3 linked regions of the Caenorhabditis elegans genome follow. The protein of the gene in region 1 purifies or fractionates together with the protein of each later gene. This does not show direct contact. Each region holds a gene or a part of one and is shown in the gene's direction. Other genes may lie near its edges.

Region 1 (3,128 bases):
TTGATTTTTCATAATTCTTCGATGATGAACAAAAATCGTGAAAAAAACAACAAAAAAATTTCAAATCACAGTACTCATTGAAGCCCTTTTCACATTTAACAAAAATATTTATGTCGTGTCGAGACCGGGTACCGTACTTTTGAAACAAAAATCTCAAAATACCGCGTCTGGATAATATGGAAAACATTTATATTTTTTAATTTCTAAATATCGGTTATTTCAATTTTAAAGGCATATTTTTGCATTCCTAGGCTTGAAATATAAGTATTTAAACCCTATAAATTCGCGCTGCAACTTTTAAAATTTGAAAAAGCGCGCATTTCAAGATAGCGTGGCAAGACCCAACTTCTAAAATGCGTGCGCCTTTGACAATCACGTTTTCACTTTCTTGTTCAGTCGCTACTGGCACCTTCGTCGCCGCTATTTATCGAGAATTAGTTTCTCAAATTTATTTTTTTATTTTCAAAAGATTTTTAAATGGTTTAATCATGTGCAATCGATATTTTTTCCACGTAAAAAGAAGTATAATTACTCTCTTCTTAATTTTTTGAAATTTCGTAACCATCGATTTATTGGTGCGTGTTCCTGAAAAATACACCACGTTTTTGCTTAATTTCATTCAAATTAATCGATAATTCTATATTTATTTCTAGATAGATGGAGCAATCCTCCCTACTTCTGAAGAAACAGCTGGCAGGTGAGTTGGGATTAAACGTGATCTATGATCAAAACTAACTTTTTTCTGTTTCCAGACATGCGCAGAGTTCCAGTCGACGGATTCTCGGCAGGTCTCGTCGATGACAATGACATCTACAAATGGGAAGTCCTGGTGATCGGACCACCAGATACTCTCTAGTAAGTTGTTTGTTTGTGAAAATTGTAATTAGTTTTTTCTTGCAGCGAGGGAGGTTTCTTCAAGGCTATTCTCGACTTTCCAAGGGATTACCCACAAAAACCACCAAAGATGAAGTTCATTTCGGAAATTTGGCATCCAAACAGTTAGTATTTACTGAAACAAGTCGATTTTACACATAAAATATTTCAGTTGACAAGGAAGGTAACGTGTGCATCTCGATTCTTCACGATCCCGGAGATGATAAGTGGGGTTACGAACGTCCGGAAGAGCGTTGGCTGCCTGTGCATACTGTCGAGACGATCCTTCTTTCTGTCATCTCAATGCTCACGGATCCTAACTTTGAATCTCCTGCAAACGTTGATGCAGCGGTTCGTCTAAACAATGAAAAATAACCGAAATATTTTAATTTTTTCAGAAAATGCAACGTGAAAACTACGCCGAGTTCAAAAAGAAAGTTGCTCAATGTGTTCGCAGAAGTCAAGAAGAATGATTTGAACATTGCATCAACAGAGAAGAAGCATTAATTTAACTCGTCGTTCATATGAAACTATCCACTTTGATCTTCTTTTTCTTACTCATTCACCCCATTTTTTGACACCACGTGTTTCTAATTTCTTTCCTCATAAGCGTTGGACTCGTTACTTTTTATTCCCCTTAACATTTTTTTGAACGCAAAACCTGTGAATTTGCTTCGTAATTTTTTTTTGTCTAGTGGTGGTGCTCTTTTCCTTTTGTTAACATCCAAACTATAGTTACAACTATGCAACTCGTTTTTTTTCTGAGAGCGGTACCACATGTTTATTTGTTTGGTATGAATTCACAATCCTCGTGATGCTACTTCTTATCTTTTATGAGAAAATAAAATTTTTTTTTCACTAAATACAATCAATTTCATCTCTGATAAATATGTCATTCGTTCGAAATACATTAGACGGAAAATAACGAAAACCGTTCCGCGTGCCTCGCAATTGCAAAAACTGCGTGCGAGCGTTGCAAAAAGAGGCGGGGCTTCATTTGGAAAATATTTAAAAATTATTTTTTTAATTTGATCTGTTTCAGTTATTAAAAGTGATTTTCAGCTCGAAATGGGAAAGAAAAATGAAAAGATAGTAGAAGAAGCTGAAAAGGTAGAAGCAGAAACAATGGAAGTCGACGAACAACCACAGGAAACCCCACAAGTGGACGACGAAGAAGATTTGAACGTACCTTCAAAAAAGAAAATGGAAATTGTAAGTTTTCTACACTATTCCTCTAAAAAAATGTTCTGTTTTACAGCTGGACCCAAAAAGTTTCGAACAAGATCCATCTAATTTGACGCTTATCATGTACGAGGAAGATCACACTATTGGAAATTCAATCAAGCACATTTTGAGCAGAATGTATGTTTTACGAACGAATCGATCAGATGTAATTGTTGTTTAATTTCAGGGATGAAGTTGAATTTTGTGGTTACAACGTTCCACATCCTCTGGAAGACAAGATTTTGTTCAGAGTGCAGACAAAGGATGGTATTAATGCTCTGGAAGTTCTCGCGAAGGCATTCGAAAGTGTTGAACAAATTTTTTCCACGATTAGAGGGAAATTTGAAGAGTCTTATGAGCAAAGCCAATCGTAAAATTGCTATTCATTTTGTCATTATTTGTTATCCATTTTGTTGTTTTGATGTTTTTGTTTGACTTCACCCATTTCAATCTGAAATGAAAAATTTGTATTGGCAAAGATAATTATTTGTGATTCACGTTTTTATGTTTTATTCAAAATATGCCATATTTTTGTTTGCATCAAAGATTTTCTCAATCCAAATCTCCAGATGTCCGGTACGGGTGCCTTGATGACTGTCCACGTTGGACAGTGCGGAAATCAGCTTGCTCAAGCCTTCTGGAAATCGATGGTCGACGAACATGGAATCAATGAGTAGGGAATAAATTTGAGGCACCGACAATTTCAATTAGGCAAAATTCGATATACCACAGTCCGAAATGTGAAAACTATTGCAATTTTTATATTTCAATACTGAAATGCTGCAATTGTGAATTGTTCTCGTGAATCGACATGATTGAAAACAAAATATGAATTATTTTACTTTTGTTTGAGATGAAACAAACATTTTTGCTAAGTTAAATAATTTAAGACGCAATTTATTCAAGGTCATAATTCAGCCTCATAATTTTGATAAATATAACAATTTTTTTCGTTTTCAGACGTGGACAAACAACTCACGAAGACGATATGAATGATAAGAAAGATCTATTGTTCTACCAGGCTGATGACG
Region 2 (6,433 bases), on another chromosome or scaffold:
GCAAAATTGCCGATTTGCCGGAAATTTCAATTCCGGCAATTTGCCGATTTGCCGGAAATTTTCAATTCCGGAAGTTTGCCGATTTGCCGGAAATTTTCAATTCCGGCAATTTGCCGATTTGCCAGAAATTTTCAATTCCGGCAATTTGCTGATTTGCCGGAAATTTTCAATTCCGGAAGTTTGCCGATTTGCCGGAAATTTTCAATTCCGGAAATTTGCCGATTTGTCGATTTGCCGGAAATTTTCAATAACGGCAATTTGTCAATTTACCGGATATTTCAATTCCGGCAAATTGCTGATTTTCCTGAAATTTTCAATTCCGGCAAATTGCCGATTTGCCGAAAATTTTCAATTCCTGATTTAAGATTTTAGCTAAAATTCGTCAAATTAAAGTAAAAAAAACCAAAAAAAAAAAACGTTTTTTTTTCAGATTTTCCCAGTACTTCACATTGAGCGCTGGGCTTTTGACGTTGAGCTCATCTTCCTTTGCGAAAGATGGACGGTCCCTGTGAAAGAAGTTTCAGTTCGATGGACTGAAATCGAAGGGTCTAAGATTACTCCAATTTGGTCTTGGCTTCAAATGGGCCGAGATCTTGTGCTCATTTGGTTCAGATATACGGTAAAATTGCAGTTTTTTAGGCCTTTTTTGAAGTGGTGTCAGGATGTCCCATCGCTCTACTGCACACGAAAATGGCGGGAAAATATTTTTTTTTTAATTTGTGACGTCACAGCGTATCTTGAATAATTTTCTTAATTTTAAGCGCCGATTTTTGTCAAACTTAAAAAAAAAATAAATAAATAATATCTTTCTCATTTTAATTTATAAAATTTGATATTTTACCAAAATTCTTAAAATTTAGTGGAAAAATTGAAGCAAAATACACAATAAAAATGAATAATTTCAATTGAAACGAATTTTTTTTTTCGAAAAACCATTTAAACCGTTCATTTACCAAGTTTCCGTGAATTTTTTAAAAATGATTTTCCAAATAAATTTTTGTTTAAATTGAAATTATTCATTTTTATTGTATTTTGCTTCAATTTCTCCACTAAATTTTAGAATTTTTGTAAAATATCAAATTTTATAAATTAAAATGAGCCAGTTTTTAAAAAAATTTCACGAAAATCGGCGCTTAAATTGAACAAAAGCAATTATTCAAAATGCGCTGTGTGACGTCACAAATTTTCAAAAAATATTTTCCCGCCATTTTCGTGTGCGGTAGAGCGACCTGACAATATTTTTGACATTAAAATTTTATTTTCAGATCGGAATTTGGACGGATGACCAGCCTCGCTAAATGCTCCACAAAAAATCGATACGAGATTTTCAAAAAATCTTGCCCAAAAATTTCCTTTTTCTTCTAGTAATATCTATGCTTTAATCACTTTTTTTCCCTGCTTTTTCCTGATTTTTTTTCCAATTTATGGCTGGTTGTAAATATCCATGATTCCTTGAAAATGTGATTCTATTCTTTTTTCTTTTCGCATTTTTATTATTTATTTATTTACTTGTTGGTTTTTCTTTTTTTTCTCTCTTGTTCTGGGGACTCTGGGTTTATTTTTAATGCTAAATTCAAAAAAATATCGATTTAAATGTTTTTTTCCATTTTTTTGTTTTTTTTTTCGTTTTCCCAGCGATTTTATATCTTTCCATAGAGTTTTCAGGCGAAAAAAATCAAAAAATTTCCAGGCAAAAATGGTCAAAAAAGCGGCGGCAACTAGCAAGCAGGCTACCTATCACAGTGATGAGATCGAGATGAAAGAGGAAGTTGTGCTCAATGTAGGATTTTTTGAATATTTCAAGGATGCAATCGCGCTCCATTGGGAAACGAGAGCGCTCCGCCCCCAAACGTTGGGTCTCGTTAGGAAATCAGGCGGCAAAAGCATTTTCCGTATTTTTTTAAAATTTCGTCCAGAAAAATTTTAAAAAATTCCAATTTTTTATTGAAAATCGTTATTTTTCCGAAAAAAATTGTTATACAAATTTACGAAAAAAGGCGGCGATTTATCAACTGCCGGAAATTAGTGAAAGATTACTTTTTTTCAAAAAAAATTGAAAAAATTTAAAATTGTGAGATAAACCAAGAAAAAATTAACTTTCGATTTTTTCAACTTTTTGGAAAAAAAAAACACAAACCAAAGAAAAAATGAACAAAAAAAAAGCGGATTGCGTGTATTTTTCACCACGCGTAACGTCGTTGTCGCGATGTCCTCCGGACCGAAGAGCAAGAAGCTAAAAACGCCCACGCTTGAACAGCAAATCGAAGATGGAGTCAATGCTTATATTCACTCGCAGCAGTTTGAGTTCAACTCTCCACCACGGGAAAATTTTTTTGCCAATTTTTTCGTCTCAAAAAAAAAAGGAAAAAAAAACCAAAAAACCGACATTTCTGGTCAATATTTTTTTTTGTTTTTTTTTTTTGAAGAAATTCGATTTTTTGCTTTTCGGCCGAAATTTTTATTTTTTTAAATTTTCCAAAAATTCTTCTTCAATTCCAGACCTACGACGAATGCACCGATTATGTCGAATACGACGATACAAAACAATTCGATATCAACGAGTATTGCGATCAAATCCAAGTGGCAATGGTCAATGAATCCGACGATGGAATGACATTGGAATTTGATATTACTCGCATTGAAGCTCCAATTGCAAATGCTCTTCGCCGTGTGCTCATCGCCGAAGTGCCAACGATGGCTCTCGAGAAGATTTATCTCTATCAGAATACTTCTGTAATTCAAGATGAAGTACTCTGCCATCGTTTGGGTCTTCTGCCGCTTCGTGTGGATCCACGTGGATTTCAGTTTCCAAAGGAAAAAGTCGTTGGAATCAATGAGAAGGGAGTGGATTGTGACGAGGAGCCCGAGGGAGATCCCGCGAAAAATTTGATCTTCAAGATTAATGTTTCGTGTACGAAGAATCGAAATGCGGTGCCGACGGCTACCGATCCGAAGCAGCTTTATCACAATAGCTCGGTCTACTCACGTGCTTTTGAATGGGTACCGATTGCTGATCAGAAGACGCAATTCACCGAAGAAGCCCATCCACGTATGGTTTCTGATGATATTCTCGTTGCCAAGCTTCGTCCTGGACAGGAAATTGAAGCCAGTTGCCATGCGGTCAAGGGAATCGGACGGGATCATGCAAAGTTCTCACCGGTTGCTACTGCGTCCTATAGGTGTGAATTTTGAAGCTGCTGAAATATTTTCTTTTGATTTTTGCGGTTTTCCGGAAAATTGAAAATTTTTCGTTTTTCGATTTTCTCGGAAAAAGTGAAAAATTGGGGGGAAAAAAATTATAATTCATATAATATATTTTCGGTTTTACGGGACCCCAAATTCTGAGAATGCGTATTACACAAAATTTTTGACGCGCAAAATATCTCGTAGCGAAAACTACAGTAATTCTTTAAATGACTACTGTAGCTTTTAAAGAGTTACTGTAGTTTTCGCTACGAGATATTTTGGGGAAGTTAAATAATTTTTGTACATCTACCTATATTCAGTATATTTAGACTGTTTTCTGTAATTTTGTGGAAAAAAAAGTTCGAAAATTTCAAGCCAGAGGTGAATTTTTTTGTCGACAAATTTGACAAATTGCCAATTTTTTTTTATTTTCGGCAATTTTCATTTTCGGCGATTTGCCGGAAATTTTCATTTTCGGCGATTTGCTGGAAATTTTCATTTTCAGCAATTTGCCGATTTGTCGATTTGCCGGAAATTTTCATTTTCGGCGATTTGCTGGAAATTTTCATTTTCAGCAATTTGCCGATTTGTCGATTTGCCGGAAATTTTCATTTTCGGCGATTTGCTGGAAATTTTCATTTTCAGCAATTTGCCGATTTGTCGATTTGCCGGAAATTTTCTTTTTCGGCAATTTGCCAGTTTGACGATTTGCCGGAAACTTCGATTTCGGTTAATTGCCGGTTTACCGATTTGCCGGAATTTTCATTTTCTGCAATTTGCCGGTTTACCGATTTGCCGGAATTTTCATTTTTGACAAATTGACGATTTGCCGGTTTGCCGGAAATTTTCATAGAATTTGCCTACTTTTCAAAATACATGTAGGAACATTTATAGGATGCGTACAATTTAGCCGATTGAAATTGAAAATCTGAAATTTCCAAAAAAAATGTGCAAAAACACAATTTGCCGGTTTGCCGGTTTGCCAATTTGACCTTCAAATTCTTCCAATTTTTCAAAAAATTTCTTTTCATTCCAGACTGCTTCCAACGATCCGCTTGAACGCCGAAATTTCGGGTGAAGCTGCCGAACGTCTCAAATCAGTATTCAGCGAGGGAGTTATTGCTATCGAGAAGAAAGGAGGTAGATCATAAATCAATTTTTAGGAAACACACCAATTTTTTTAAAATTTCAGCCAAACGAATTGCTGTTGTCAAGGATGCTCGCAAGGATACGTGCAGTCGTAACGTGTTCCGCCACGAAGATCTGTCGAAAGTTGTTCAATTGGGAAAGAACAAACAGCATTTCATTTGTTAGTGGCAGGGCTGAATTCGAAAAAAAAAACTGAAATTCATGAATTTTTCGCATTTTTTTGGTTTTTTTTCCAAAAAAAAATACACGAAAAGTTGTCGAAAAACAAACCCCAATTTTGTTAAAGTTTGAAACCTTATTTTGAAAATTTTAAATATTTTTGCCAAATTTTAACTCTTTTTTTTAATTTTGAGAGTGGTTTTTTTGGAAAATGTATAAGTAATTTTTTTTGGAGCCGGAGTTTTTATATATTTTTTTTCGCTTTTTTTTTCGAAAAAAAAAGAATTTTCGCCAGAAACATGGTACAGACGTGCCGTTTTTCGATTTTTTTTTTGAAAAAATTTTTAAAACGAAAAGTTGAAAAATTGGAAATTGGGAAAAGAAAATTTTTGAGTTTTCGAACTTAAAAAAAACGAAAAAATTTTTAAAAAAAATGTTCAGAAAATTAAAATTGAGCAGAAACTGGGGAAAATTCGAAAAATTCTGAAAAATTCACAAAAAAAACCCATTTTTTCGAACTTTTTTCCGATAAAATTACAAAAATCCTAAATTTTCTACTTTTCAAGGGCCCGAATTTTTGTGGAAAATTAGTAAAAATCGGTTAAAATTAACCATTAAATATGATTTTTTCTAATGGGGTTATTCAAGTAATGTAGCAATTTTTTTTTTTTTTCGCAAAAATTTTTTTACACTTTTTAATTTTCCGACACTACTTGAATAACCCCATAAATCAATTTTATCGAAACTGATGAGAAAAAAAAATTTAACGAAAAAAAAACACAAAATTTCGTCGTCAGAAATTTTTCGATTTTTCCCAAGTTTTCTAATTTTTTTGGTTGAGAAAGTCGATTTTTTTTAAATATAAAAAAAAAACCGAAAAAAACGTAGGAAAAAAGAGGGAAAAACTATAAACTTATTTAAAAATAAATTATATTTCAATGAGAAAAATGAAAATTTCTTCAAAAATACAAAAAAAAACCAAAAAACCATTTAAAAAAATTGCCAAAATTTCAAATTTCTTTTTTTTTAAACTGAAAAAAAAACACACAAAAAATTTTTCACAATTTTTACCGGCAAATTCGGCAAATTGGCAATTTGCCGGTTTGCCGATTTGCCGGAAATTTTGAATTCCGGCAATTTTAGTTTTTTTTTCAGTCAGTGTAGAGTCGACTGGAGCTCTGAAATCGTCTGAATTGGTGGTTGAAGCCTGTAAAGTCATGGAAATCAAGTGTCGTTCTCTTCGCAAACAAATCGAGGCTCTTATTCAATAATCCCCGTTTTTTTGAAATTTTGTTACTATTTTTTTATTCGTTATCCTTTTTTTTTGTTGTTGTTTGACTACCCCTCAAGTTGTTACACTGTTCCGTCACTTTCTTTTTTCTTAATTTGAATGAATTTTCGTGGCTTTTTTACCTTCAAATATCTCCTAGTTGGCCAAATGGTTGAAATTTCCATTTTTTATTTGTTTTTTTTGTAGTTTTTTAACAGGTTCATAGAAAAATCATTCATTTTTTCGGTTTTTTCAGAAAAAAATTATTAAAAAATGGAAAAACTCCAAAATTTTGAGCTATTTTCTCAAAATATTGGAAAACGAATTCTTTTCGATTTTCAGAAAAATTAGAAACAAAACTTTAAAAATCATCAATTTTTGTCTATCCTGATGAAAAAATATAATTTTCTTCAAAAAATTAAAAAAAAAAACCAAAATTTGAATAAAAAATTGTAAAACTAACATTTTCGGTTTTCCGGAAAATCGAAAAAGCGAAAAATCTTTTCTTTGCAGAAAAAAAGAAAAATCAATTTTGTTCTAAAAAATATCCTTTTTCGAAATACTGGAAAAACGGGGCAGTTTTCGAATTTTTTTCAGAAAATTGAAAAAAAAACGATTGTTTTTAGAAAACTAGCAAAAATTCAATATTTTGTCGAATTATATAATTTC
Region 3 (3,558 bases), on another chromosome or scaffold:
GTTTTAGTTAGAAAACATGTTGATTCCAACTTGATGGAAATTATGGTGAAATTGCCAAGAATCGTCGGCAAATTGTGATTTTGCATATATCTGTTTTTTTTTGGAAATTTTAGAATTTCAAAAAATAAAAAATTACATAAAGGCACAAGTTTAAGTGTTTTCGTCTTATAGAAAAACTCCTCTAAACATTTCCGGCAAATCTGATATTCGGTAAATCGGCAAATGTACAATTTGCCGATTTGCCGAATTTGTCCTTTTTTTTTCTCGAGATGTATGAAATATGGGAGTGAGAAGAGAATTGCAAAATAGGAAGACACGAGATTCAAAATGAGGGAGTATGAGCCAAACAAGACGGAGAAAAGGCATAAGAGGAGCTCTGTGTTGAGGGATATATAATTTGTTGGAGGAGAATGACACGGAGAACACATTGCGAATATGGGATCAAACTAGAGACGCAGAGCACTGAGCAGATATCTCACAAACACCCGGTGTGTGGCAGATGGTGAGCCATTTTGGTCACTCTCTTTCCCTCTTGTTGTTCGCCTCCCTGAAAGGCAACTGCTAGCAGGCTCTGGCTACTCCTACTGACTGCTTCTTCATTGAATGCTCCTCTTTTCCATTGATGACGATTGAATATGCGAGAGACAGCCGGGGTCTCTAATACTAGGAGCCGAGTAGCATGAAATTGTTGTTGTGAAACTTATTAGAAAATGGATAAGTGTGGGGGATTTGTTGAGAATATTTTTAGCGAAAGCGAGAAATTTTAAGCTTTTGTCAGTACAACTGCGAAGTTATTTACCTCAATATGCAATATTACGGTAACACAAACCTCTTAGAATGCGTATTGTGCAACATAGTTGACGCGCAGAATATCTCGTAGCGAAAACTACAGTAATTCTTTAAAGGACTACTGTAGCTCTTTTGTCGAATTACGGGCACTATTTTCGAAATGAATTAATTTTCCAAAAGTGACAGCGATACTCATTTTCCGTCGTTTTTTTCGTATGATTCTTATCCATAAATAAATGATTTTAATTAATTTCGAAAATCGAGCCTGTAAATCAACATAAGCGCTACAGTAGTCATTTAAAGAATTACTGTAGTTTTCGCTACGAGATATTCTGCGCGTCAAATATGTTGCGCACTGGGCATTCATTTTGTGTTTTCGTAATAAAAGAAACGTTATGATATGTTTAACAAAATTTTGGATTTCATTTTTTTGATTAAAACTAACAATTCTCCAGTAATCTGAAAAATTGTCCTTTCCAAGCCAAAATAATATTTTAAATATATAACTCTTCTCATTTTCACTGATTATAATGATCAATGCATTAAAATACAGCTGCTAAAAAGCCAAACACCTTGTTTCCTTCAGATTTTCGAAAAATGGCATGTAACTCGAATGCGGCTGCCAAACCGACCACGAACAACAAAAATTCTCAAAATTTATAATTTTTATGTATATAAGCTTTTAGAAAAACATTTTTTCTATCCATTTATCTATTTTTATTATTTTATAATCTTCAGTATTAATGCTTTTAGCCACAGTCTTCATTTTCATCTCATTTTGCCATCGCCCCGCCCCGTGTGGCGACCGCGCTCTATTGCGAATCATTTTTCTCTCGCAATTTGCAGTTATTATTTCTCCCTTCAGTTTCACTATTTTCTCACAAAAATTCACCGAATAAAATGTTTTCTCTCAATAATTTTATGTTTTTTCTTATTTTTCTAATGCATATTTTAATTTTCAGCGGATAAAAATCATGGCTTCCATCAAAGAAGAACTTATAAGCGCGGCGGAAAGCGAATCGCAAGTGATGCAGATCGTTCAAGCGGCTCTCGAAGGAATTGATATGGATGCATTGACAAGTATGACACCTGGATTGCCACAAACTGTTCGTCAGACTGCGATCAATAGCCTTTTGAGCTCAAAGAAATTGGCTATTCAACAAGCGCCTGGCGGTGTGCTCCGGTTGAAAGTTAACACAAGTGAACAGATTGCGGGAACAGAAGAGGAGCAAGTGGTGAGTATTTCTTGCATCCGGAAGAAAGAAAAACTGACATTTTTCATTACAGATTTACAGTCTTATCGAAGAATCGAAGACGCGTGGAATATGGATAAAAGAACTTCGAGAAGGTTCAGGACTCAACCAGCTTCAACTTCGAAAAACATTGAAAAGTCTGGAAACGAAAAAGTTGATCAAGACTATCAAAGCTGTTGGAACTACGAGGAAGTGCTATATTTTGTTTAGTATTGAACCAGATATGTCATTGACTGGTGGAACATTCTATTCTGATCAACAACTCGATTCGGAACTCATCAATACATTGATCAGTGTTTGTGGTTCATATGCTGCCAGCAGACGAAAGCATGCGATTGATGAAAATCCGAATAATATTCAAATGCAAAGAGAAGCCAGCTATATTCGTCCTCAAGAGGTTTGATTTTTATTGATAGCTCTAAAAAAATTTTTTTTTAAACTCTAAATTGAAAATGTGAATTTTTTTAACCGGAAAATAAATTAAATTGATGTTTTTCAATTTTTTTAGCAAAAAATATGCGTAATCAATTTTAAAAAAATTTCCAGATAGCCCAATTCATCACCGAAAAACGAGTATTGAATGTTCCACTATCATTGGAAGATTTAGAAAGAATTCTCGAAGTCGCTGTGTTGGATGGAACAATTGAACGAAGAGCTGATGGAAAGATCCGTGCATGTCCACCACGTTCCAGTATTTCTCCATTAGTGTCGGTTCCGTGTGCTATTTGTCCAGTTGTCGAGGATTGTCGACCAGGATATGTGATCTCTCCTCAATCATGTGATTATATGAAAAATTGGCTGGCCGATCTGTAACTGCAGTACTCTCTAGTTAATTGTTTTGAGAACTCAGATCTTCAAAACCCGTATTTTTATTGTCCATTTTTGTTAATTTATTGATGCCTTTTTGTTGTTGATTCTCCTCTTTTTTTCTTAATTGTTAAATATTTGTTCTGAATAAAAAAATCTCATAAAAAGAGATACAAATGCTGGTTCTATTTCAGAAAGAATGGTAGGAAGTGACTAATCTTAATGTCAAACCATAATGATCGACCCTTGACGCGGAGCAGTTTTGCAAGTATGCGGCGCGGTTTTATGCATGTCATTTTTTTCTGGTTTTACAGGTTTCAATTTAAAAACCGGACTAGCCCGTAAATCGACAATAGCGCTACAGTAGTCATTTAAAGAATTACTGTAGTTTTCGCTACGAGATATTTTGCGTGTCAAACATGTTGCGCAATACGCATTCTCAGTATTGTAGGGTCCCGTAATATTAATTTTAAAAATGTTTTCTTTTTTTTTTTTAATTTTTTCCGAAATATTTTTAAAATATTACTTTTAAAAATATTTTTTTTGTCGTTTTGAAAAATAGGTACAAAACAGGAATTTTGCCCAAAAAATGAGTAAAACCGAGCGAAAAAAAATACTCACACATGTATGTCCATGTCTAGTACAAAACTCTTCGTAAATCGACATGCAAAAAACCGCGCCGCAGGCTTGCAAAACCACGCTCCGCTCC

The links. The genes of interacting proteins can lie anywhere in the genome.
Region 2: the proteins of rpac-19 (region 1) and rpac-40 fractionate together in Caenorhabditis elegans (co-fractionation; one large-scale study listed by BioGRID). This does not show direct contact.
Region 3: the proteins of rpac-19 (region 1) and W09C3.4 fractionate together in Caenorhabditis elegans (co-fractionation; one large-scale study listed by BioGRID). This does not show direct contact.

Annotation. Positions count from the first base shown.
Region 1 is NC_003281.10:9,628,693-9,631,820, reverse strand, and holds rpac-19 (putative DNA-directed RNA polymerases I and III subunit RPAC2), read left to right. Parts: upstream 1-1,935; 5' UTR 1,936-1,941; coding exon 1,942-2,085; intron 2,086-2,131; coding exon 2,132-2,235; intron 2,236-2,284; coding exon 2,285-2,471; 3' UTR 2,472-2,575; downstream 2,576-3,128. Other genes in the region: ubc-7 (putative ubiquitin-conjugating enzyme E2 7), read left to right, coding at 658-697, 753-855, 901-998, 1,046-1,224, 1,272-1,346; tbg-1 (Tubulin gamma chain), read left to right, coding at 2,667-2,770, 3,058-3,128. UniProt on the Caenorhabditis elegans protein: DNA-dependent RNA polymerase catalyzes the transcription of DNA into RNA using the four ribonucleoside triphosphates as substrates.
Region 2 is NC_003283.11:4,197,795-4,204,227, forward strand, and holds rpac-40 (DNA-directed RNA polymerases I and III subunit RPAC1), read left to right. Parts: upstream 1-1,690; 5' UTR 1,691-1,696; coding exon 1,697-1,780; intron 1,781-2,499; coding exon 2,500-3,179; intron 3,180-4,222; coding exon 4,223-4,326; intron 4,327-4,378; coding exon 4,379-4,495; intron 4,496-5,649; coding exon 5,650-5,765; 3' UTR 5,766-5,902; downstream 5,903-6,433. Other genes in the region: algn-5 (dolichyl-phosphate beta-glucosyltransferase), read left to right, coding at 431-619, 1,266-1,298.
Region 3 is NC_003279.8:4,702,859-4,706,416, forward strand, and holds W09C3.4 (putative DNA-directed RNA polymerase III subunit RPC6), read left to right. Parts: upstream 1-1,745; 5' UTR 1,746-1,763; coding exon 1,764-2,024; intron 2,025-2,076; coding exon 2,077-2,439; intron 2,440-2,588; coding exon 2,589-2,855; 3' UTR 2,856-3,027; downstream 3,028-3,558. UniProt on the Caenorhabditis elegans protein: DNA-dependent RNA polymerase catalyzes the transcription of DNA into RNA using the four ribonucleoside triphosphates as substrates. Specific peripheric component of RNA polymerase III which synthesizes small RNAs, such as 5S rRNA and tRNAs.